2 linked regions of the Stegostoma tigrinum genome follow. The protein of the gene in region 1 purifies or fractionates together with the protein of each later gene. This does not show direct contact. Links are inferred from orthologs where the notes say so. Each region holds a gene or a part of one and is shown on either strand. Other genes may lie near its edges. The genes, in order: rnf139 and insig1.

The links.
Region 2: the proteins of rnf139 (region 1) and insig1 purify together in Homo sapiens (affinity purification with western blotting, with the first as the bait; 3 studies listed by BioGRID). This does not show direct contact. The link is inferred for Stegostoma tigrinum from reciprocal best matches to the Homo sapiens genes RNF139 and INSIG1.

Annotation. Positions count from the first base shown.
Region 1 is NC_081358.1:76,980,725-76,993,219, forward strand, and holds the start of rnf139 (E3 ubiquitin-protein ligase RNF139), read left to right. Parts: upstream 1-7,132; 5' UTR 7,133-7,483; coding exon 7,484-7,646; intron 7,647-12,495. UniProt on the Homo sapiens protein: E3-ubiquitin ligase; acts as a negative regulator of cell proliferation through mechanisms involving G2/M arrest and cell death.
Region 2 is NC_081355.1:142,089,113-142,101,842, reverse strand, and holds the start of insig1 (insulin-induced gene 1 protein), read left to right. Parts: upstream 1-7,515; 5' UTR 7,516-7,791; intron 7,792-7,815; exon of another isoform or gene 7,816-7,877; intron 7,878-8,255; 5' UTR 8,256-8,312; coding exon 8,313-8,640; intron 8,641-9,571; exon of another isoform or gene 9,572-10,225; coding exon of another isoform or gene 10,226-10,262; intron 10,263-11,050; coding exon 11,051-11,175; intron 11,176-12,730. UniProt on the Homo sapiens protein: Oxysterol-binding protein that mediates feedback control of cholesterol synthesis by controlling both endoplasmic reticulum to Golgi transport of SCAP and degradation of HMGCR.

The sequences.
Region 1 (12,495 bases):
GGCCTGCTAGCGTTCTGCCCTGCTTACTCACATCAGTCAGCAATTAACAAGACTTCCGTGGGCTGGGTGCCGTGTCTTTCCTATGTAGGGTCAATCGCCTTAAAATATTGTATTCTATCCTTTTTTGTGAGATACAATATCATAAGCCTCTTTACTTTCATACTCAAGGTCCTCTTTACAAATCTCCTCCCAAGCGCTCCGTACTACCACTATCCCACTCTTATTCATTCATAACTTTTCTGACCACTGACGAGTGTACTATGTTTACGATTACCGTATTACATTCATTAAACCGCGATCTTGCAATATATTTCAATATTAAAGACAGACTAAAATATTCCTTTCATCCTATTTCTGCCTTTTCACAGCTTTATAATGGGATAGTGTAGTGGGAGGAGCTTAGGTTAGTTCGCAGGTCGGCGCAACATCGAGGGCCGAAGGGCCTGTTCTGCGCTGTATTCTATTCTATGTTAACCCTTTCCGCCCCATGCTGCTAGCAGTGTCCAGACCTATGTCTACATCAGAGGCTATCCCTGAGTATATGTTAACTTTGTAATCTGTTCAAAACAATACCATCCCAGCCACCATGCCACCCAAAACTAGAAAAGATAACATTAATGTTCCCTTCAAGAAATTTAAATGAATGAATGAGTAAACTATGAATAGTGAAATCTCAAGACCCAGCCACGACAATCACACTACTACCCCTTCTGCTGTTATTCAGTGCATATATGATTCCCAGCCCAGTCAAATCAGGTCTAGGCCCGAAACATCAGCCTTCCTGCTCCTCTGATGTTGCTTGGCCTGCTGTGTTCATCCAGCTCCACACCTTGTTATCCCATATAGGCTTCATATTCTTTTTGGCATTCTGTAACTTTTAAAAACTAAAAGGACCCACACTCCTCATTCCCCTATTTCAGCTCCACCCCCACCCCTTTCTGGCCCATGGCCAATCCACGTGGCCACGAGGCCAATTGGAGACTTTCCAGTTGTTAGGGTGGTGGTCTGAATATGGGTTCCTTTTTCACTGCTCTGCCAGTTGAGGGAATAAGTTTTTCCCCACATGCAGTTTGAGTCAACTTTCTCTGTATGTAGCGGACGAGAACAATAAAAGAATGAAAATCAAAAGAACTGTAAATCCGGAACAAAAACAAAGTTGCTGGAAAAGCTCACCAGGTCTGGCAGCATCTGTGGAGGAGAAAACAAAGTTAACGTCTCGGGTCCGGTGACCCTTCCTCAGAACATGATAAGAATGATTAGGACGACTTCTTGTAAGACAGTGAAGATGTGAGAGATAATCCTGATCCAAGGGTGCATATCGGTAGTTTATCCCCAATTCCACAAAAGCTCATACCATTAAACTCCATGGAAAACTTCCTCAATCTTAGATTTGGTCTTTTTGATCTGGATACCTTCTTGTATTCACTGGTGTTCCACATCCTGGGCTCCAGTTAATAACTGTTGCCAATAATGGTGCATGGGGAGACAGTACAAGTAAGGCTGGGAGAAGGTCTTGTAGGTCATGTTAGTTCTGCTTCCAGTGTGGAAGATACTGTAAGATTTTACCTTTCCCTTGATACCCTGGTGCAGGGGGCTAATAGTCTCCCCTCCAACAGTGATTTATTTCCTTTAGGTTAGTTATGACTAGATAATGTCCCTCAAAGGAGCAGTTCGGGTGTCTTTTGTTATAATGCTTTGCTGGAGTAGCAATGTATACTTGATAACAAAGTGTAGAGCTGGATGAACACAGCAGGCCAAGTAGCGTCATAGGAGCAGGAAAGTTGATGTTTCGGGCCTAGACCCTTCTTCAGAAATGGGGGAGGGGAAGGGAGTTCTGAAATAAATAGGGAGGGGAGGAGGCGGATAGAACATGAATAGAGGAGAAGATAGGTGGGAGAGGAGATAGACCAGTCAAAGAGGCGGGGATGGAGCCAGTAAAGGTGAGTGTAGGTGGGGAGGTAGGGAGGAGATAGGTCAGTCCAGGGAGGACGGACATGTCAAGGAGGCAGGATGATGTTGGTAGGTAAGAGATGGGGGTGCGGCTTCAGGTGGGAGGAGGGGATAGGTGGGAGGAAGGACAGGTTAGGGAGGTGGGGACAAGCTGGGCTCGTTTTGGGATGTAGTAGGGGGAGGGGAGATTTTGAAGCTTGTGAAGTCCACATTGATACCATTGGGCTGCAGGGTTCCCAAGCGGAATATGAGTTACTGTTCCTGCAACTTTCGGGTAGCATCATTGTGGCACTGCAGGAGGTCCAGGATGGACAAGTTGTCTGCAGAATGGGGGGTGGGGGGAGTTAAAATGGTTGTTGGTTCATAATCGCATAACATGTTCATTGGACTTGGTTCTTTTGGATGTCACAGTTGCACTCCATAGTGGGTGCTTTTGGAAATCGTATCGGTTGGCCATAACAAAAATGTGTCCTGTCCAAGGACTTTTCCTTGTTAACAGCTTTCAGTTGTCTTTGAGAGCCTTGTGTTCAGTCCTATTAAAATATCCCGGAACATGGAGACGGAAAAGAGGTAAAGATAAATTAGCATACTCTGGAACCCTCAAATGTATTCCCACTACATTTGGCACATCAGGGGTATAACAATGAAAGTTTGTGCCAGCTCCCTGGTACAAGGGTGTATGTCCACAACTCACTGCTTGGAGGTCTTGATCTTGAATCCAGGAGGGGAGCCAGTGATTCAAAAGTATGGTCATATGGGTTTGGTAGTCTGTCAGAATGCAGGAAGCAATCACAACACACAGACACAGTTTCTGGGCGCCCTTTGTATTATTGTTAATTCTCACGCAGTTAGTCTCGGTGGTCTTCCCAGCGTCTTCCAGTAAGGAAATGGCCTTAACATGTATCCTGGTATCTCTGGCACCATTGTCGGTCGTTTTGTGGTGGTGGTCTAGTCCCATTTGCATGCGCTTCTTCATTTCTCCCTTTAGATCTATTAACTGCTATTGCAAGGAAGACAGATCGACAGAATTGACTGTCGCGACTCCTGCTCCATAGCCAGCCCCAACAGCTGTCAGTACGTCACGTTTGTCTCGATGTTGATATTGGAGATGTATAGTAGGCTCCCATCATAGCAAATCTTGTCTGAGACGTAAAGAAATTCTTTATGGGCTTTGGGCATTGGGTTGAGAGAGACAAATTCAATTGGATTAATAACTTTATGGTGGCTATGTCCAGCTTTCAGAGTAGTCTGATAGGTTGGGGTTCTAGGATTAAAATATGTTATATTTTCATTTCTTATTGAGGGTCCTGGGGTAGACCACTACCCAATCCTAATCTTGTATGTCAGTTTCCCTGTGCACATCGATCCACTATCTCGCCTATGCCGTTTTTATCCCTTGCTCGCATTGTCTACACTCTATGGTACAATTGTATGAATCTGTCCTGAATTTCCTGAATGCTTTCCATTTCCTAGTGTTGCCTTGCCTACCTGCTCGTGACGACATAAGCGAACCGTGATACCCTTCAATTACTGTGCCATTGCCGACCCACAAACTAGAGCCTTTGGCACGATTGAGGAAGGAGATCCAGCTGGGGGTCTGAGAGAGGTACAAGGAGTTGTCATTCTCATTATTTCAGTGATAGAAACCTGTTGTCCAGAATCTATTGAACTTATAGATCAGGAGAGGAAACCCAGCAGCGTATGTTAGCTGTCCTTTCTCAGATGGGTCAATCCATAGCTCTCCATTCATGCAGAAGTCTTTCAGGCCAGTGGAATAAATGTCACTGTCCAGCGGATGTGTTTGAAAGTTGCTTTGGAACAGAATTATGCAATTGGAATTAATTATCAATAAACAAATTTTAAGTTGACATAACTGGAATTGCACAATCACACAATGATTCAGCACAAATAAAACCAACTAAACCCACTGTACTCATACCAATTCTTTGTCGGGAGACATTCAATTGATCCCAATCTCTGTTCTATCCTCTATTCTACGATAGAATGGTTAAAGCACAGGCAAGGCCATTTAATCCATAAACTCCATGACAGTTCTTTGCAAGAAAATCTATCTGATCACACTGCTGTAATTCCATAGAACAGCCATACATGTGTACTTGACTTGAAACATTAACTCTCTCCCCCACCCCCCCCCATCTTCATGAGACTGCCAAATTTGCTAAGTTTCTCTGCTACTTTCTGTGATAATGGGAACTGCAGATGCTGGAGAATCCAAGATAACAAAGTGTGGACCTGGATGAACACAGCAGGCCAAGCAGCATCTCAGGAGCACAAAAGCTGACGTTTTGGACCTAGACCCTTCATCAGAGAGGTCTCTGATGAAGGGTCTAGGCCCAAAACGTCAGCTTTTGTGCTCCTGAGATGCTGCTTGGCCTGCTGTGTTCATCCAGCTCCACACTTTGTTATCTCTGCTACTTTCTGTTTCTGTTTTCAGCATCTGCTGTAACTTGATTTTGTTTCAGCTAAGCCTTCATCCTCTCCTTGCAGCCTGACATTATATTTACTTTTGCAAGTCATGATACAATTGCCTCTACCACTCTCTCACACAACACATTTCAGATCATAGCCACTCATGGACACCAGTTGCCACAGCACAGATGCACATAAAAAGATAATGGGGGAGTGACAGTTTCAAAATTGGAACTTTGCCTCCTCGAAGCATGAACCTTTGGTCCCAACTCTGGTTTGTGCAGGTTGACAACACCCATTTCCATCCAACATTGAGACTGTGAACCACAGATTAATATTAAGCCCTTAACAAGTTTTGCAAAATCTTATTTATATTTCCAAGATTTAGTAAACAATTTAAACTCTCACCACTTTAGAATCATTGGCCTTCAGGAACAAAGCAGGAAATCAAATAGCAATTTCTTGACTATTTTCAGCATCATGTGCAAGAGACATGAATTTAAACTGTGGAAGTAATGATCACTAATGAACATTCTTGACTATAACATATTGAGGCAAATTTAGAAGAAGGGATGAATACGAGTCATAGGGTTAAGATAACAAGTTGTGGAGCTGGATGAACACAGCAGGCCAAGCAGTGTCAAAGGAGCACAAAAGCTGACGTTTCAGGCCTAGACCCTTCATCAGAAAAGGGGGATTGGGAGAGGGTTCTGAATAAAATAGGGAGAGCGGGGGAGGGGGACCGAAGATGGGTATAGGAGAAGATAGGTGGACAGGAGAATATAGGTGGGGAGGTAGGGAGGGGGATAGGGCAGTCCGGGGAGGACGGACAAATCAAGGGAGCGGGATGAGGTTAGTAGGTAGGAAATGGAGGTGCGGCTTGAGGTGGGAGGGGGGGATAGATGAGAGGAAGAACAGGTTAGGGAGGCAGGGACGAGCTGGGCTTGTTTTGGGATGCAGCGGGGGGAAGGGAGATTTTGAAGCTTGTGAAATCCACATTGATACCATTAGGCTGCCGGGTTCCCAAGCGGAATATGAGTTGCTGTTCCTGCAACCTTCGGTGGCCTCATTATGGCACTGCAGGAGGCACAGGATGGACATGTTGTCTAAGGAATGGGAGAGGGAGTTGAAATGGTTCGCGACTGGGAGGTGCAGTTTGTTTATTGCGAACCGAGCATAGGTGTTCTGCTAAGAGGTCCCCAAGCCTCGACTTGGTTTCCCCAATGTGCTGGAAGCCACAACGGGTACAGCGGATGCAGTATACCACATTGGCGGATGTGCAGGTGAACATCTGCTTGATGTGGAAAGTCATCTTGGGGCCTGGGATGGGGTGAGGGAGGAGGTGTGGGGGCAAGTGTAGCACTTCCTGCAGTTGCAGGGGAAAGTGCCTTTAGTGGTGGGGTCGGATTGTAGGTGGCGGAAGTGTCGGAGGATGATGTGTTGTATCTGGAGGTTGGTGGGGTGGTATGTGAGGACTAGGGGGATTCTCTTTTGGTGGTTATTGCGGGGGCAGGATGTGAGGGATGAGTTGCGGGAAATGCGGGAGACACGGTCGAGGGTGTTCTCGACCACTGTCGGGGAAAATTGCGGTCCTTAAAGAACGAGGACATCTGGGATGTATGGGAGTGGAATGCCTCATCCTGGGAGCAGATGCGGCGGAGGCGGAGGAATTGTAATAGGGCATGGAATTTTTGCAGGAAGGTGGGTGGGAGGAGGTGTATTCTTGGTAGCTTTGAGAGTCGGTGGGCTTGAAATTGACATCGGTTTCGGGTCTGGACCCTTCTTCAGAAATGGGGGAAGGGAAAGGGGCTGAGATAAACAGACAGGATGAGGTGATAACAGAAAGTGGTGAGAGGACCAGATAGGTGGAGAGAAAATGGACAGGTCAAGGAGGTGGGGATGAAGCTAGTAAAGGTGTGTCTAGGTAGGGAGTTGGGATGTGGGTTGGTCAGTGAGGCGGGAGGGGCGGATAGATGGGAGGGAAGACAGACAGGTCAAGAAGACCGATAGGAGGCTAATAGGTAGGACTTGGGGGTCGGGGGTTGGTCAGTGAGGTGGGAGAAAAGACCAGATAACACAGTGTGGAGCTGGGTGAACACAGCAGGCCAAGCAGCATCTCAGGAGCACAAAAGCTGACGTTTCGGGCCTAGACCCTTCATCTGCTTGGCCTGCGGTGTTCATCCAGCTCCACACTTTGTTGTCTTGGATTCTCCAGCATCTGCAGTGCCCATTATCACTGGGAGAAAAGACGGACAGGTCACGGGGGCGGACACGAGTGGGGGAGGTCTTCGGATGCGTTCGGGGGTGGGGTAATTTTGAAAGTTGTTTTGGAAAGGAGATACAGAAGAATGCATTGAAGATTATTTTCTGAATGCAAGTAACGTCAATGACATGAGACTTGCTAACTATGGTGGAAGAAGAGAAAAACAAATGACTTCAAAAAGAAATGAAACGGGCACTTGGAAGACAAACTTGCAAAGCTCCGTGGCAGGGGACTGACTAGATTTTTTTCACACATGATGGACTAAATTGCCTCTTGCTGAGCTGTAATGACATTCTCTAAGCTCTCAAGTTACACCAAGCATTGCTGCAACAGATCAACAGCAAGAGCACAGTTTCAATATGAACCACCACGGCAACGGTCTGCATCGGAGTAAACGTCTCTGCGCAAACTCAGAAATCGGCGCACGTCTGATTGTGACGCGGCCGCGTGCCCCCGGGCGATCCCGGTTGAACGTTCCATCCTGCTTGTGATTGTGAGGTCACTGCGTCTTCTCCATCTTATCGCCCTCCATATTCCTCCTACGTCCGATTATGACGTGCCAGTCTACGTGACGCACCTTTCGCGTTGAGCGGGAGTCGCGGCAGGCGGAGGGCGGCCTGGGCGATGGGGAGGAAGCGGACAGTCGCGGCGGACGTGGGCAGACAGCGACACCGGGCCGACAGCTGACTCACCGCCAGCTACAGCCCGGCCAGATAAACAGGGGTTCGACTTTAGTACGCCGGCCGGTTGGCCTGCTGGCTGGCCAGCCGGCCGAGCCACTCTCTCAGCCAACAGCGGAGTTTGTTGTGAGCGGGTCGCAGCGTTTGCCGGTGGTCGCCCATGTCAGCGCAGGGGCTGTCAATGGGGAGTCACCTCCGGGGGGTCCTGGACGTGGCCCTGCGGGTCCCCTGCATCTTCGTCATCGACGCCATCTTGAACTCTTACTTTGACGGCCTTGAGAGCCTGTCCACGGTGGCTCGACAAGTATCACAGCGGTTGCTGGGTGAGTGATTGCAGGAGGGGCCACTGTCGAATGAGCAACACACAGCCCCAGTGATTGGGGGTGGTCCTGTCGGACAAGTCAAAAATCCTCGTCGTGTGGTATCGCAAACAACTCTGGATTAGTTAAGAGCAGGCTTGCAAAAGATTCTGCGTGGCCAGTTTGCAGCCCTTGTCTGAGGGAAATGGCACGTCTTTATTTCATTACATGATTTTTCTTTATCTACAGATGAGCCCAAGTTGCAATCCTTAAATTCTGAAAAAGGTTGTTGAATTAATACTTCAAGTCCCCGAAGCTATTTTAGGAGAGGGATTCTCTCCGGTATTCTGCTCTGAGAGGAGATACGTGCTGAGTTTTGAAGCTTCTTTTTCAGGTTGAGAGGGTAAATTTGGAAAGAGTTTTCAGAGAGATTTGCATAAAGTTCTTGTAAAACCCAACCAGGATTCATTGCTGGTAGGAGTGAGTTTTTGAAGTTGTGCATGATTTGCCACTCAGATTGCTTTGTCCTGGGTGGTGTCAGGCTTGGTGTTAGAGTTGTACTAAGCAAGCAAAGTATTCCATTAACTCTTTACCTTCCCAGTAGATTATAACCAGCATATTACTCCTTTACTAGTGTAGGCCTTGTAGCTGCTGCACGTTTGTTTCTGATGGGTTCAGTATGATTTGTGATAAATTGGAAATACCACCCTTTGATGTTTGGGGCATTTGATTAATATTAGTGTTGACTATCCAGGGCTATTGGTTAAATTTTCCTGGAATTGATATCTGGCACTTGGGTAACATTAATATTATTATACATCATTTATCAGCCTGAGCTTCAGTGTTCTCCTAATCTTGCTCCATGTGGTGTGGACTGTGCCATTATTTTGAGCAGGTGGTATTAAACACTCTAGCTGTCACTGAGCTAACTCTCTCCTAAAGGAGCAAGGCCATTGATGAAGCAGTTAAAGATAGTTAAGTTTCGGATGCTTTTCTGCAGTCTCGTTAGTGCAGTTGCTAGAGCCCAAAATTTCCTGATCTTATTACATTGAAAATTGGTAGGAGCCATAAGATTACAGAAGCAAAGGTGTGTAAAAATGTGAAGGATTATATGGAGAAACTTAAATTTTGGAGAACCTTTTGTCCTACAAATGTGTACATCAGAAAATGCAATGGGCTCCACCATGATGGACAAGAACTTTGTCTGTGGTGGGCAGATGGGTTACGGTCAGGGGATGGAAAGGGAACCGGCAGGCAGTGCAGGGATCTCCTGCGGCCATTTCCCTCAACAATAAGTATACCGTTTTGGATACTGTTGGGGGGGAGGGGGGAGAATGACTTACCAGGGGAAAGCAGTGGGGCACAGGTCTCTAGCACAGAGTCTGTCCCTGCTGCTCAGAAGGGAAGGGGGAAGAGGAGCAGAGCAGTAGTCATTGGGGACTCCATAGTTAGGGGGACAAATAGGAGGTTCTGTGGGGACGAGAGAGACTCATGGTTGGTGTGTTGCCTCCCAGGTGCCAGGGTGCGTGATGTCTCTGATCGTGTTTTTGGGATCCTTGAGGGGGAGCAGCCCCAAGTCGTGGTCCACATTGGCACCAATGACATAGGTGGGAAGAGAGATGGGGATTTAAGGCAGAAATTCAGGGAGCTAGGATGAACAGAGTTGTTGTCTCTGGTTTGTTGCCTGTGCCACGTGCTAGTGAGGCGAGGAATAGGGAGAGAGATGAGTTGAACACGTGGCTACAGGGATGGTGCAGGAGGGAGGGTTTTGGATTCTTGGATAATTGGGGCTCTACAAGCAAGATGGTCTTCACCTGAGCCAGAGGGGTACTGATATCCTGGGGGGGAAATTTGCTAAGGCTATTCGGGTGGGTTTAAACTAATTCAGCAGGGAGATGGGCACCAAAATTGTAGTTCAACTGTAGAAAAGGTTGAGAGTAGGGTGGTCCGCAATAAAGTTTCAGGGAAGCAAGATGGCACCGGCAAGCAAGAAGTTGGTTTGAACTGTGTCTACTTCAATGCCAGGAGCATCTGGAATAAGATGTGTGAACTTGAAGCATGGGTTAATACCTGGGACTTCGATGTTGTGGACATTTCGGAGACATGGATAGAGCAGGGACAGGAATGGTTGTTGCGGGTTCTGGGATTTAGATGATTCAGTAAGAACAGAGAAGATGGTAAAAGGGGCGGAGGTGTGGCATTGTTGGTCAAGGACAGTATTACAATTACAGAAAGGATGTTTGGGGACTCGTCAACTGAGGTAGTATGGGCTGAGGTTAGAAACAGGAAAGGAGAGGTCACCCTGTTGGGAGTTTTCTGTAGGCCTCCGAATAGTTCCAGAGATGTAGAGGAAAGGATAGCAAAAATGATTCTCGATAGGAGTGAGAGAGAGAGGGTAGTTGTCATGGGGGACTTCAACTTTCCAGATATTGACTGGGAACACTACAGTTTGAGTACTATAGATGGGTCAGTTTTTGTCCAGTGTGTTCAGGAGGGCTTCCTGACACAGTATGTAGATAGGCCAACAAGGGCGAAGCCACATTAGATTTGCTACTGGGTAATGAGCCTGGCCAGGTGTTAGATTTGGAAGTAGGTGAGCACTTTGGTGATAGCGATCACAATTCTGTTATGTTTACTTTAGTTGATGGAAAGGGATAGGTGTATACCACTGGGCAAGAGTTATAGCTGGGGGAAAGGCAATTACGATGAGATTAGGCAAGGTTTAGGGAGCATAGGATGGGGAAGGAAACTGCAGGGGATGGGCACATTAGAAATGTAGAGCTTATTCAAGGAAAAGCTCCTGTGTGTCCTAGATAAGTATGTACCTGTCAGGCAGGGAGGAAGCTGTAGAGCGCGGGAGCCGTGGTTTACAAAGGAGGTGGAATCTCTCTTCAAGAGGAAGAAGGCGGCTTATGTTAGGATGAGATGTGAAGGCTCAGTTAGGGCACTTGAGGGCTATGTGGTAGCCAGGAAAGACCTAAAGAGAGAGCTCAGAAGAGCCAGGAGGAGACATGAGAAGTTCTTGGCGGATAGGATCAGGGTAAACTCTAAGGCTTTCTATCGGTGTTTAAGGATTAAAAGAATGACGAAAGTAAGATTAGGCCCAATCAAGGATAGTAGTGGTAAGTTGTGTGTGGAGTCAGATGAGATAGGGGAAGCGCTAAATGAATATTTTTCAACAGTATTCACTCTAGAAAACGACAATGTTGTCAAGGAGAATACTGAGATACAGGCTACTAGACTAGGTGGGATTGAGGTTCCCAAGGAAGAGGTATTAGAAATCGTACAGTGTGTGAAGATAGATAAGTCTCCTGGGCCGGATGGGATTTATCCTCGGGTCCTCTGGGAAGCCAGGGAGGAGATTGCCGAACCTTTGGCATTGATCTTTAACTCGTCATTGTCTACAGGAATAGTGCCAGATGACTGGAGGATAGCAAATGTGGTTCCCCTGTTCAAGAAGGGGAGTAGAGACAACCCTGGTAATTATAGACCAGTGAGCCTTACCTCAGTTGTTGGTAAAGTGTTGGAAAAGGTTATAAGGGATAGGATTTATAAACATCTAGAAAAGAATAAATTGATTAGGGATAGTCAGCACGGTTTTGTGAAGGGAAGGTTGTGCCTCAAACCTTATTGAGTTCTTTGAGAAGGTGACCAAACAGGTAGATGAGAGTAAACCGGTTGATGTGGTGTATATGGATTTCAGCAAGGCGTTCGATAAGGTTCCCCACAATAGGCTATTGTACAAAATGAGGAGGAATGGAATTGTGGGAGATATAGCAGTTTGGATTGGAAATTGGCTTGCTGAAAGAAGACAGAGGGTGGTAGTTGATGGGAAATGTTCATCCTGGAGACCAGTTACTAGTGGTGTACCGCAAGGGTCGGTGTTGGGTCCACTGCTGTTTGTCATTTTTATAAATGACCTGGATGAGGGCGTAGAAGGATGGGTTAGTAAATTTGCAGACGACACTAAAGTCGGTGGAGTTGTGGATAGTGACGAAGGATGCTGTAGGTTGCAGATAGACATAGATAAGCTGCAGAGCTGGGCTGAGAGGTGGCAAATGGAGATTAATGCAGACAAGTGTGAGGTGATGCACATTGGTAGGAGTAACCAGAAGGCAAAGTACAGGGGTAATGGTAAGATTCTTAGTAGTGTAGATGAGCAGAGAGATCTCGGTGTCCATGTACACAGATCCTTGAAAGTTGCAACCCAGGTTGACAGGGCTGTTAAGAAGACATATGGTGTTTTAGCTTTTATTAATAGAGGGATTGAGTTCTGGAACCAAGAAGTTATGCTGCAGCTGTACAAAACTCTGGTGCGGCCGCACTTGGAGTATTGCGTACAGTTCTGGTCACTGCATTATAAGAAGGATGTGGAAGCTTTGGAAGGGTTGCAAAGGAGATTTACGAGGATGTTGCCTGGTATGGAGGGAAGGTCTTACGAGGAAAGGCTGAGGGACTTGAGGCTGTTTTCGTTAGAGAGAAGAAGGTTGAGAGGTGACTTAATTGAGACATATAAAATAATCAGAGGGTTAGATAGGATGGATAGGGAGAGCCTTCTTCCTAGGATGGTGAAGGCGGGCACGAGGGGGCATAGCTTTAAATTGAGGGGTGAGAGATACAGGACAGATGTCAGAGGTAGTTTCTTTACTCAGAGAGTAGTAAGGGAATGGAACGCTTTGCCTGCAACGGTAGTAGATTCGCCAAATTTAGGTACATTTAAGGCGTCATTGGATAAGCATATGGACGTACGTGGAATACTGTAGGTTAGATGGGCTTGAGATCGGTATGACAGGTCGGCACAACATTGAGGGCCGAAGGGCCTGTACTGTGCTGTAGTGCTCTGTGTTCTGTTGTCCTCTGCTCAGTAACTCTC
Region 2 (12,730 bases), on another chromosome or scaffold:
ACCTTCCACATTGGATAGAGGTTCACCTGCATATCTGTCAATGTGGCCTCCTGTACATCAGTGAAACCAAATCCTCTGAGGAACTGGATGCTCAGATTTTGTAACCCTGATCTCTGCAGCTTTACTTTTTACAAATTTATGCGATGTTGGCATCGCTGGCTGGGCCAGTATTTATTGCCCGTTTCTAGGTGCTCTTGAGAAGGTGGTGGTGTGCTGCCTTTTTGACTCGCTGAAGTCCACCTGCTGTGGTTCACCTACAGTACCATTAAGGAGGGAATTCCAGGATTTTGACCCAGAAACAGTGAAGGAATGGTGATATATTTCCAAGTCAGGGTGGTAGTGATTTGGGTGTCACTTGAAGGTGGTGGTGTTCCCATGTATCTGCTGCCTCTACCTTTCTAGATGGAAGTGGTCAATGGGTTTAGAAGGTGCTGTCTGAGGATCTTTGGTGAATTTCTATCTTATAGATCGTACATAGAGCTGCTACTGAGCAGCAGTGGTGGAGGAAATGAATGTTTGTGGGTGTAATGCCAATCAAGCAGGCTGCTTTGTCCTGGATGGTGTAAACTTTCTTGAGTATTGTTGGATCTGCACCCATCCAGACAAGTGGGGAGTATTCCATCATACTCCTGACTTGTACCCTGTAGATAGTGGACAGGCTTTTGGGAGTTAGAATGTGAGTTCTTGCAACAGTATTTCTGGCCTCTGACATGCTCTAGTCATCACTGTGTTTATGTGGTGAGTCCAGTTGAGTTTCTAGTCACTGATAACCCCCAGGATGTTGATAGTGGGGGATTCAGGGTTTGTAACACTCTTGAATGTTAAGAAGTAGTGGTTACATTTTATCTTATTGATAATGGTCTTAGCCTGACATTTATGTGGCATGAATGTTATTTGCTTTGAGGACCAACGGTGGGGTAGTAAGCTTGGATGTCTGGTTTATGATGTAGAGTGATGCAAATACCATGGGTTCCATTCTTACCCTGACTAAGGTTACCATGAAAATCCGAACTTCTCAACTTCACCCGCAGTTTAAACTTCCCACAAGTCATCTCTCAAATGAGAGAGTGGGATTATGGCAACTTTATCTGCATTTCAGATTTATTAGAACTCAGTCCCTTAAGTTTCTCCAGTTCTTTTTCACTGCTGATGCTAATTACCTTAATTTTTTGGATCTCATTAGTCCCTACATTATCTTCTATTTCTGTGAATGAAAGAAAGTTAAACACACAAACCTCTTTATTAGCTGATGTCTTTGAACTCTTGCTAGTCCACCACACTCCAAGAAGATTCCTTCAACGCCAACTTCACATGCATTCCTCACTTCCTTCCCCTTGCACTGTGGTTGGCAATTCTGCTTTAAGCCATCTAGGCTGTAAGCTTGGGAAGTCCTTTCTTACATCTCTCTGGCTGTCCATTGCTCCCTCTTCTTTAAAACACTGCCCAACATCTAGGTCTGACCAAGCTTTTAGTAGCCCATTCTAGCAAATACTTCTTTGGCTACATGCCAATTTTTATCTGCCTTCTCCCCTGTCAAATGCCTTGAGGCACTTACCTGTGAGAAAGGCACTGAATAAATACAAGTTGTTGATGTTGTTGGAACTGCACCATAACAATGACCACACTTCAAAATAATTAATCAGCCAAAAAGCTTTCGAAATGTCCAAATAGAACATTTTCTGTTGTTTCTATCTCTGTAAGTAGAGAGAGGCAGTGATAGATAGAGATTGAGCCAGACAAACAGACAGGTATAGGGACTGTGGATGCTGATTCAAAAAAAGAGTTAATTAGTAACTGGAACCTAAAGTTTACAGGCATCTCCTGTCATGGAACGCATTTAACAAATAATTAAATCTGTGCGTTGGTAAAGAATGTGGATGGATCTTGTTACCACTAGGAGTAATTGAGTTGAATGATTGAGGGAAAACTAGATAAGAGTACGAGCGGAGAGATGGGGGCTGTGCTGATAGAGGTAGTTGAGAATGGATGACCACAGGTTAGTGTGGAGCTTATTAGCGAGAAGGACTGATTGGGCTCAATAGTCTATTTCAGTGAGAAATAATATCAGTAATTTTATGTTGTTGCAAATTCATGAGTGTTTTTGAAACTAACATATAGTTATGGAGCACTTTCACCCGCATTAAATGCCATGTGTATAAGATGCCAAGATAATAAAATGTGAGGCTGGATGAACACAGCAGGCCAAGCAGCATCTCAGGAGCACAAAAGCTGACGTTTCGGGCCTAGACCCTTCATCAGAGAGGGGGATGGGGTGAGGGTTGTGGAATAAATAGGGAGTGAGGTGGAGGCGGACCGAAGATGGGGAGAAAAGAAGATAGATGGAGAGGAGAGTATAGGTGGGGAGGTAGGGAGGGGATAGGTCAGTCCAGGGAAGACGGACAGGTCAAGGAGGTGGGATGAGGTTAGTAGGTAGGAGATGGAGGTGCGGCTTGGGGTGGGAGGAAGGAATGAGTGAGAGGAAGAACAGGTTAGGGAGGCAGAGACAGGTTGGACTGGTTTTGGGATGCAGTGGGTGGAGGGGAAGAGCTGGGCTGGTTGTTTGGTGCAGTGGGGGGAGGGGACGAACTGGGCTGGTTTAGGGATGCAGTAGGGGAAGGGGAGATTTTGAAACTGGTGAAGTCCACATTGATACCATTGGGCTGCAGGGTTCCCAGGCGGAATATGAGTTGCTGTTCCTGCAACCTACGGGTGGCATCATTGTGGCACTGCAGGAGGCCCATGATGGACATGTCATCAAGAGAATGGGAGGGGGAGTGGAAATGGTTTGCGACTGGGAGGTGCAGTTGTTTGTTGCGAACCGAGCGGAGGTGTTCTGCAAAGCGGTCTCCAAGCCGCCGCTTGGTCTCCCCAGTGTAGAGGAAGCCACACCGGGTACACTGGATGCAGTATACCACATTGGCAGATGTGCAGGTGAATCTCTGCTTAATGTGGATTGTCATCTTGGGGCCTGGGGTAGGGGTGAGGGAGGAGGTGTGGGGGCAAGTTTAGCATTTCCTGCGGTTGCAGGGGAAGGTGCCGGGTGTGGTGGGGTTGGAGGGCAGTGTGGAGCGAACAAGGGAGTCACGGAGAGAGTGGTCTCTCCGGAAGCAGACAGGGGTGGGGATGGAAAAATGTCTTGCGTGGTGGGGTCGGATTGTAGATGGCGGAAGTGTCGGAGAATAAGATGCCAGCTTATTTCTGCAATTCTGACTGTATTCCAGGCAGAAAGTTGCTGCTGGAAATTGATTAACAAAAGCAGCAAGACTTCAATTACTTACCTCCCTGGAGGAAGTTACAGTTTTCCTGTAGTGTCAATCAGCAAGTTAGAATAGATTCATATTTCAATGATTACAAAGTGTAGAGCTGGATGAACACAGCAGGCCATGCAGCATCTTAGCAGCGCAAAAGCTGCCGTTTAGGGCCTAGACCCTTCATCATATTTCAATGCTCTGTTTCTCAAGCTGATATTTCAGTTCCTCTTTCCTTTTGAAATAACTCAAGACAAATTATTTTGTGGTCAGACTGGTGTATCCAAATTTGGATTAAAAGCATAAGGGGCTGGAGAAAAACAGCTGGTGAAACTCAGCAGGCCTGCCAGCATCCATGAAGTGTGCAAAACAGAGCTAACATTTCAGAATTGGTATGAAGAGTCATGCTGGATTTTAAATGTTAACTCGGTGCCTCTCGCCACAGATGTTGACAGGCCTGATGAGATTCTCCAGCAGTTTCTGGTTCCTCCTGCTACCCAGAGATGTGCAGGTTAGGTGTATTGGTCTTGCTAAATTGCCCAATAGTAACCAGCGATGTGTCGGTTAGGTGCATTAATCATAGAAAATGTAGGGGTACAGGCAAAGGTTAGGGGGATGCTCTTTAGGGGTCAGTGTGGATTTGTTAGGCCGAATGGCCTGTTTCCACACTGTATGATGATCATGAAACTATTGTTCATAGTTGGTAAAAATCCATCTGGTACACCAATATCCTGCAGGGATGAAAACTGCCATCCTTACATGGGCTACATGGAACTCCAGAACCACAGCAATGTGTTTGACTGTTTACTGCCCTTTGGGCAATTAGGGATTTGCAATGAATGCTGGCCTAGTCAGCGACACCCCCATCCTGTGAAGGAATAAACATATTCCAGCATCCAGAGAATTTTGCTTTGATTCAAATCTGGGTTAAATTGGATTTGCACACATGACATGCTGAATGTAGAAAGTGTCTGCTATCATAAGAACACAAGAAGTAAGGGCAGCAGCAGACCATTCAGCTCTTTGAGCCACTGAATTGAGATTATGGCTGATCTTGTAGCCCCATCATTTTCTTGCACTATCAATAGAGACTGGTCCTTCACTCAGAGAGTACCCTATATCAGATAAAGTTACTGTGGAGAAAATACAACTGGAATTGCAGGGACCTTGTTGCATAGAATTGCAGAAATAGGCCATTTGGTGAGCTCAAATGATCTGTACTAGTGTTCATATTCCTCTTATTCAATCCCACTATTTAGAGTCAGCAAGCATTCTCACTGAGTCATTCTTACATATTTTCAACCATTCCATTCATTGTGGTACTGGAGAAAAAACAGATTTAAAGGGAGAGTATGAGGAGAGTGGCCCAATGTAAAATTACTCAGAGATAGCAAGTACTGCAGCTGCTGGAGTCAAAAACAACAGAGTGGAGCTGGAGGAACACAGCAGGCCGGGCAGCATCAGAGGAGCAGGAAAGTTGATGTTTCGGGTCGGGACCCTTCCTCAACTTTGTCAACTTTCCTGCTCCTCTGATGCTGCCTGGCCTGCTGTGCTCCTCCAGCTCCATACTGTATTGTCAATATAAAATTACTCCTTTATCCAAAACATTTCCACTTAAAAATAACGTTATCTAGAATTTACATGCCAAAACATGACATTCTGTCCAACTGCTTTCTGCACGTAAGAGATATGAATTGAGTGCTTTCAGTAGCCCTGGATCAGAACAGAATTGGGTGACCATAATATTACAGGCCAAGTTGGCAATCTTGCAAGTGATGAAAATTCAGCATCTGTGAGGTTCAGCCTCACACAATGAATGTTATACTCTCCTCGACTGCTACCTGGATATACTTGAATAGAAATAAGATACTGTGGATACTGGAAATCTGAAACAAACACAAATGCTGGAGAAACTTGTGATAATGGGAACTGCAGATGCTGGAGAATCCAAGATATTGAAATGTGAGGCTGGATGAACACAGCAGGCCCAGCAGCATCTCAGGAGCACAAAAGCTGACGTTTCGGGCCTAGACCGTTCATCAGATAGGGGTATGGGGTGAGGGTTCTGGAATAAATAGGGAGAGAGGTGGAGGCGGACCGAAGATGGAGAGAAAAGAAGATAGGTGGAGAGGAGAGTATAGGTGGGGAGGTAGGGAGGGGATAGGTCAGTCCAGGGAAGACGGACAGGTCAAGGAGGTGGGATGAGGTTAGTAGGTAGGAGATGGAGGTGCGGCTTGGGGTGGGAGGAAGGGATTGGTGAGAGGAAGAACAGGTTAGGGAGGCAGAGACAGGTTGGACTGGTTTTGGGATGCAATGGGTGGAGGGGAAGAGCTGGGCTGGTTGTTTGGTGCAGTGGGGGGAGGGGATGAACTGGGCTGGTTTTGGGATGCGGTGGGGGAAGGGGAGATTTTGAAGCTGGTGAAGTCCACATTGATACCATTGGGCTGCAGGGTTCCCAAGCGGAATATGAGTTGCTGTTCCTGCAACCTTCGGGTGGCATCATTGTGGCACTGCAGGAGGCCCATGATGGGCATGTCATCTAAAGAATGGGAGGGGGAGTGGAAATGGTTTGCGACTGGGAGGTGCAGTTGTTTATTGCGAACCGAGCAGAGGTGTTCTGCAAAGCGGTCCCCAAGCCTCCGCTTGGTTTCCCCAATGTAGAGGAAGCCACACCGGATACAGTGGATGCAGTATACCACATTGGCAGATGTGCAGGTGAACCTCTGCTTAATGTGGAAAGTCATCTTGGGGCCTGGGATAGGGGTGAGGGAGGAGGTGTGGGGGCAAGTGTAGCATTTCCTGCGGTTGCAGGGGAAGGTGTTGGGTTTGGTGGGGTTGGAGGGCAGTGTGGAGCGAACAAGGGAGTCACGGAGAGAGTGGTTTCTCCGGAAGGCAGACAAGGGTGGGGATGGGAAAATGTCTTGGGTGGTGGGGTCGGATTGTAGATGGTGGAAGTGTCGGAGGATGATGTGTTGTATCCGGAGGTTGGTGGGGTAGTGTGTGAGAACGAGGGGGATCCTCTTTGGGCGGTTGCGGCAGGTGCGGGGTGTGAGGGATGTGTTGCGGGAAATACGGGAGACGCGGTCAAGAGCGTTCTCGATCACTGTGGGGGGAAAGTTGCGGTCCTTTAGGAACTTGGACATCTGAGATGTGCGGGAGTGGAATGCCTCTTCGTGGGAGCAGATGCAGCGCAGGGGGAGGAATTGGGAATAGGGGATGGAATTTTTGCAGGAGAGTGGGTGGGAGGAGGTGTATTCTAGGTAGCTGTGGGAGTCGGTGGGCTTGAAATGGACATTAGTTACAAGCTGGTTGCCTGAGATGGAGACTGAGAGATCCAGGAAGGTGAGGGATGTGCTGGAGATGGCCCAGGTAAACTGAAGGTTGGGGTGGAAGGTGTTGGTGCAGTGGATGAACTGTTTGAGCTCCTCTGGGGAGCAAGAGGCAGCGCCGATACAGTCATCAATGTAACAGAGGAAGAGGTGGGGTTTGGGGCCTGTGTAGGTGCGGAAGAGGGACTGTTCCACGTAACCTACAAAGAGGCAGGCATAGCTGGGGCCCATGCGGGTGCCCACGGCCATCCCCTTAGTCTGCAGGAAGTGGAAGGAATTGAAAGAGAAACTTAGCAGGTTTGGAAGACTTCCTACTCAAAAGGACAGGAAGTGGAGGTGCTGGTGTTGGACTGGGGTGGACAAAGTCAGAAGTCATATGACACCAGGTTATAGTCCATCAGGTTTATTTGAAATCACAAGCTTTTGGAGTGTAGCCTTTTGTCAAGTGTGGTGAGACAGCAGGCACACTGACCCATGGATTACAAGCAGAGAGGTGGAAAGATCCATTCTAATGAGTCGAGTGTCAGATGACAAGTCTCTGCAGATGGCCAGGAGTATTAGACAGTGAGTAAAAGTGTCAACAGCTGAATAACCAACCAAGGAATGACCTATAATCCAATCAAATGAGGCAGAGAGATAATTACAGAACATTAAAAATAAGGTGGTGCTGCAGATTCAGGCTCTGCTTCGTCCCTCTACACGTTCTGCCTGCCTCCCACATTCACAGGCTGTCTGTAATTTACACAAGGTCACTTCACCCTGTCAAATAGTCTGGGTCACCATTCAATCCGCTTTCCTCTGCACTTCAGTTTCATTTCTCAGTCTTTAAGCGGGGGTGGGGGGGGAGGAGAACGGATGAGTAAAGAGTGACAGTGCGTGTATTTTATGATGCCTTGACAGGAAGGTGTGGTTTATCCTCCTCTTCCTGTGCAAACGGACGGTGCACCGAATGGTGTGTCCTTAACGTCATATGGGCCGTTCAGACTGCGATTGGCTCCAAGAGTCTCACCAGACAGATTGTTTTGACCGCTTGCCCGTCTGCGCTGTATGAATAGTCCCATTGCAGGATGTGACCTAATAATTCCACACATACAATGTAGAGCAACTGGCAACCTGAAAAGCGTTGCCTGCACAAAGTTCCACCCCCATTGTTTTTTTTCACAGAAGGCTGGCTTTTAATGGTGCTTAGTGCTAGCGCTGCTCAAAACTGGACGGTAAGCTTTGTTTATCAGGCTGATTTCACTGGAATGAGTTTTAGTGCTTCAGTGATGAGTTGGTTATACTGTAACCCGGTGTGGCTGTAAGAAGTAAAATGAGTATTTATCTTGTGTCTGTTCGGGACGATAGGATGTGTTTGCCTGTAAAGCTTTCTCCCTGTTTGTACAGCTAGCTCTCTTATGTTTGAGGCCATCATTAGCCTAGAAAAAAAACGAAGCTAACGTATCAGGGCGAGCCTGTTTCTTTACCATTAACTCTTGAGACCATCTTCACTTGCAAATCCACCACCATTCTCAGTGGCTTAACATTTGGAATATCGCAGTGTTCAGTATTTACTGGTCTTGCTGTGTCGATAATTTCACAAAGTTTGGCATTTGGACACGCTCCCCTGTTGTGTTTAAGTGTCACTCAAATGAATTCATTTGATTTTATCTTTTCCGTTTGCTGTTCACCCCTGCAGGGCCGTGGAGGCGCCGCCAATTTAGTGTAATTCCTGCCAGTTGCCTCTCCATACCAAATGTCAAGGATCGAAGAAACTTGCTGGTCGTGCAGTTGCACCCGGGTACATCCGTCTGAAAGTAACGGCACACTGCTGGTGGCAAAGGTCTACGAGATGATGACCATCGTCAGCTCGATCCTAGTCAGTGCCTACTGCTCCCTGGTTAGCGGTCACACCATGAACTTACTGCGGCGGGGCTTGGTGCTTTTCACCGTGGGAGTGTTTCTGGCGCTGGTGTTGAACCTGCTGCAGATCCAGAGGCACGTCACCCTGTTCCCCGAAGAGGTCATTGCCACAATTTTCTCCTCTGCCTGGTGGGTACCACCTTGTTGTGGCACAGCGGCAGGTAAGCGCGGGGTATTGGGAGGGAGAAATCAATATGCCAATAAGTTTAGGCCTTTTTACAGTGTTGAAGTTGTTCAAGAGAGTAACCTGTAGCAAACTTTATCCTCCATTCAACGAAAAAGGGGCACTCTTTAAAATATCAACCAGACCTGTTAAATAATGTTATTTTAAAAAAATACTTCTTGTCCTATTAAAACGTCAACAAATTGTCATTAGACTTGAATTTGGAATACAGATGTTTTGAAAGCCTCGATAAAAGTTCTTAGTTTTTCAGCATTTTTATTAAAAAACATTCCAATCCTACTGTGTTCTTGCATTGGGCATCTGTCACCAAACATGGTAATCTAATGAGTTGTAAGCACTAGAGCTGACAAACCCTTAAATCAATAACTTCTTGACTCTTTAACACTGAGCATTTGGCGTCTGTATTCGACAGAAGCATGTGTTTGTCATTTTCCGCAATTCAAATCTTTTTTTCTCTCCAAACGCGGTAACATATCAACCTCTTTTGTGTTGTGACACTGTAAATCCTCGATTCTTTCAGAAAATGCATCTCAACTTTGGTGTGAAACTTGCAGTAAAATTATAGTAACTCCCAACCTCTAAAGATAAAAAAAAGTGGCTTAATTCGAACAATCCCCAACCATTTGCAACACACATATCTCCCCGCTCACAAGAAAGAACACTTTTAAATAGGATCAGAGATAATGGGAACTGCAGATGCTGGAGATTCCAAGATAATAAAATGTGAGGCTGGATGAACACAGCAGGACCAGCAGCATCTCAGGAGCACAAAAGCTGACGTTTCGGGCCTAGACCCTTCATCAGAGAGGGTCTCTGATGAAGGGTCTAGGCCCGAAACGTCAGCTTTTGTGCTCCTGAGATGCTGCTTGGCCTGCTGTGTTCATCCAGCCTCACATTTTATTAACTTTTAAATAGGAAGTCAGTTTTTCTTTCATAAACTGTCAATTTTCACGCCTTGAAATGGAAATAAAACAAGGCTAGTTGACGTTGAAGTTCCAAAAGACATCTTCGCACTAGCGGAAGATGCCAGTGTTTTTTAACGCCGATGATTCATTTCAATTATATTCCTGAGGGAGGTTTTTCGCGCCACGTGTCGCTAGATTTGCATGAAATTGCAAGCGCGCTGGAGGAGGCGGGGCCTTGGAGTGCAGTGCTGTTTCTTGATTGGCTCAGCTGGCAACGGGTGAGCTGGACTGCTCGCTCCTGATTGGTTGTCATGTGCAACATACCACTTGGCTTTCTAAACTAAAATACAGAATGAAAGCAAGGAAATGAAGTGACAGGATGCTGAGCCTGTCTCAAGAGTTTGTAATACTGCTGAGTGCTGAACTTATTAACATTGTGTGTTTTCCCTCCCCACCCTTTCTATTTCACTGATGTTAGCATTCACCTGCTTTTAAATAGGCTCAACCCAATCTCGGCGCAATAGACAGGAGAGGTGGTCTTCAAAGGAAGCCAGAAAAGATTTAAATTTTATGTAATACGGTTCGTTACCTGCTGTACAGCTCACGTGATCGACCTTCGGAGTTTCTGTGGTGACTTTCTTGTAGAAGTGAAACTTCATGCAACAAGGAACTGGCATTGCAGAAAAAAAACTGAGTAGGTCTGGCAGCATCTACGTAGGGAAAGCCGAGTCAACCCCCGAAGAAGGGTCACTGGACTGGAAATGTTAACTCTTGCTTTCTCTCCACAGATGTTGCAATACCTGTTGAGGTTCTGCAACAGTTTCTGCTTCAAACCTTCAGCATCGACAGTTCTTTGTTTTGTTATAGTGAACTTCAGGTGTCTTGGTGACTGTTCTCAGTCCTGCTATTTGGAGATAATGTTCAGAAAGATGGGTTGTGTTTTTATGATGGTTAACACTGTTAGTGAGACATTGCCCACACCTACATCGCATTGAATATCAGAACAAGCTCAAGGGGCTGAAAGGCCCATCTCTGATTCTATGTTCTGTGGGCTTATAGGTTTAACTTGTTGTGCAATGTCATTAGTTGAGCTCAGCAGTGACATTGTTCATTGAAGCTGATCATTTATAGTTCTGTTTTCTAGAGAGGAATATAAAATGATGGAGTTACACAATTAACATGCAAATTACTTAACATTTAGAAGAAAAGGCTCAACCCTAAATGGTGATCTGTTCTATCTGATGCTAATTTTTACATTGTCCATCTCCAGCATTTATTTTTGGTTGTTTTCCCCTTTTTAGTTACATTTTAACACACCAAACTATTGACAATTTTTATCCTATTCATGTAGTGAAAGATAAGTATTTTACCTTGCAGAAATCTGTAAGCATTTTAAGAAATCCATAACAGCTAGCTTTAAAAAATGTTCTTCTAGATGAAGTTTAAAGTTTGCAACTAATTTATCATCTAACCTTTCCTCAGCTGTGGTAGGTCTGCTGTATCCCTGCATTGACAGCCACCTTGGAGAGCCTCACAAATTCAAAAGAGAGTGGGCAAGTGTCATGAGATGTGTAGCAGTTTTCGTTGGCATCAACCACGCAAGTGCTGTATCCTTCCAATTGTTAATGGGACAAAAATTATCGTTCCCCCCAATTATTATTTTTAGCGTAAAGTGGTGTCTTAATTTTGAAAAGGACAGAAAAACACTTGAGAAGGAAGTTACATTTCTCTTCTGTCTCCAACAGGACCTGGATATTACAACGTTCTAACCAGGAGATATCAAAGTGGATGAGAGTAAGGTTTGCTTAAATGTGAGAGAACCATCAGGGAAACGAACTCATTACAAAGAAGTGAACTTTATAAGTGATAACAAACTAAAATGAAGAGAATTATAGATAGCTGTTTGATTACTTCACTGCAATCACTATCTAAAAGTTCAAAAATTGCTTGGTTGTACAGAAGGTAAACATTGCTAAAAAGTTGTACTTACCAGCACTGGCTGCAAGAAACAGACTTAAACATGGGATACTACGTAAATGCTGTACAAATTGGTGTCCCTTTTCTTCTGAGTTTTTCTTGTGGTCCTGATTAATGCAAAATGAAAAGTTTTAACTCAGCAGGTCTGGAACTATCTATGGACAGAACATAAGAACTAAGAGCAGGAGTAGGCCATCCGGCCCCTCGAGCCTGCCCCACCATTCAATAAGATCATGGCTGATCTTTTTGAGACTCAGCTCCATTTACCTGCCCACACACCATTACCCTTAATTTCTTTATTATTCAAAAATTTATCTAGCCTTGCCTTAAACACATTCAGCGAGCTGGCTTTAACCACTTCACTGGGCAGGGAATTCCACAGATTCATGACCCTTTGGGTGAAGAAGTTCCTCCTGACCTCAGCCCTACATCTGCTTCCCTTTAGTTTGAGGCTATGCCCCCTGGTCCTAGTTTCACCTGCTAGTGGAAACAACCTCCCTGCCTCCACCTTATCTATTCCCTTCATAATCTTATATGCTTCTATGAGATCTCCCCTCATTCTTCTGAATTCCAATGAATATAATCCCAGCCTGCTCAGTCTCTCCTCATAATCCAACCCTCTCAACTCTGGAATCAACCAAGTGAATCTCCTCTACGCCCCCTCCAGTGCTAGTATATTCCTTCTCAAGTAAGGAGACCAAAACTGCACGTAGTACTCCAAGTGGCCTCACAGGACCCGAAACAACTGCAGCATCGATTCCCTGTTTTTAAACTCCACCATATGGAGAGAAAGCAGAGTTATTGTTTCGGGCCCCGTGACTTCAGAACCTGATACTCCAAATTTGATATTCTGAAGAAGGGTCATTGCACTCAAAACATTAACCTTGCTTTCTCTTCATAGATGGTTCCAGACCTGCTGAGTTAAAACTTTTCACTTTGCATTAAATGACTCGAAACATTTAACTCTGCTTTTTCTTCATAGATGCTGCCAGAGTTTCCTCAGAAACTTCTATTCTCGTTTGTTTTCATTCCCCAGCATCTGCAGTTCTTTATTTTGTTCTGAGATCCTATTTGTTAGGAGGCAAAGTATCCCTCACAACTGTTCTCAGAGATGGAATGAGTTAGTATTTGGCATAACATTTATCTCTCCATCAACAACAACTTGCATTTATGTGACACCTTTAG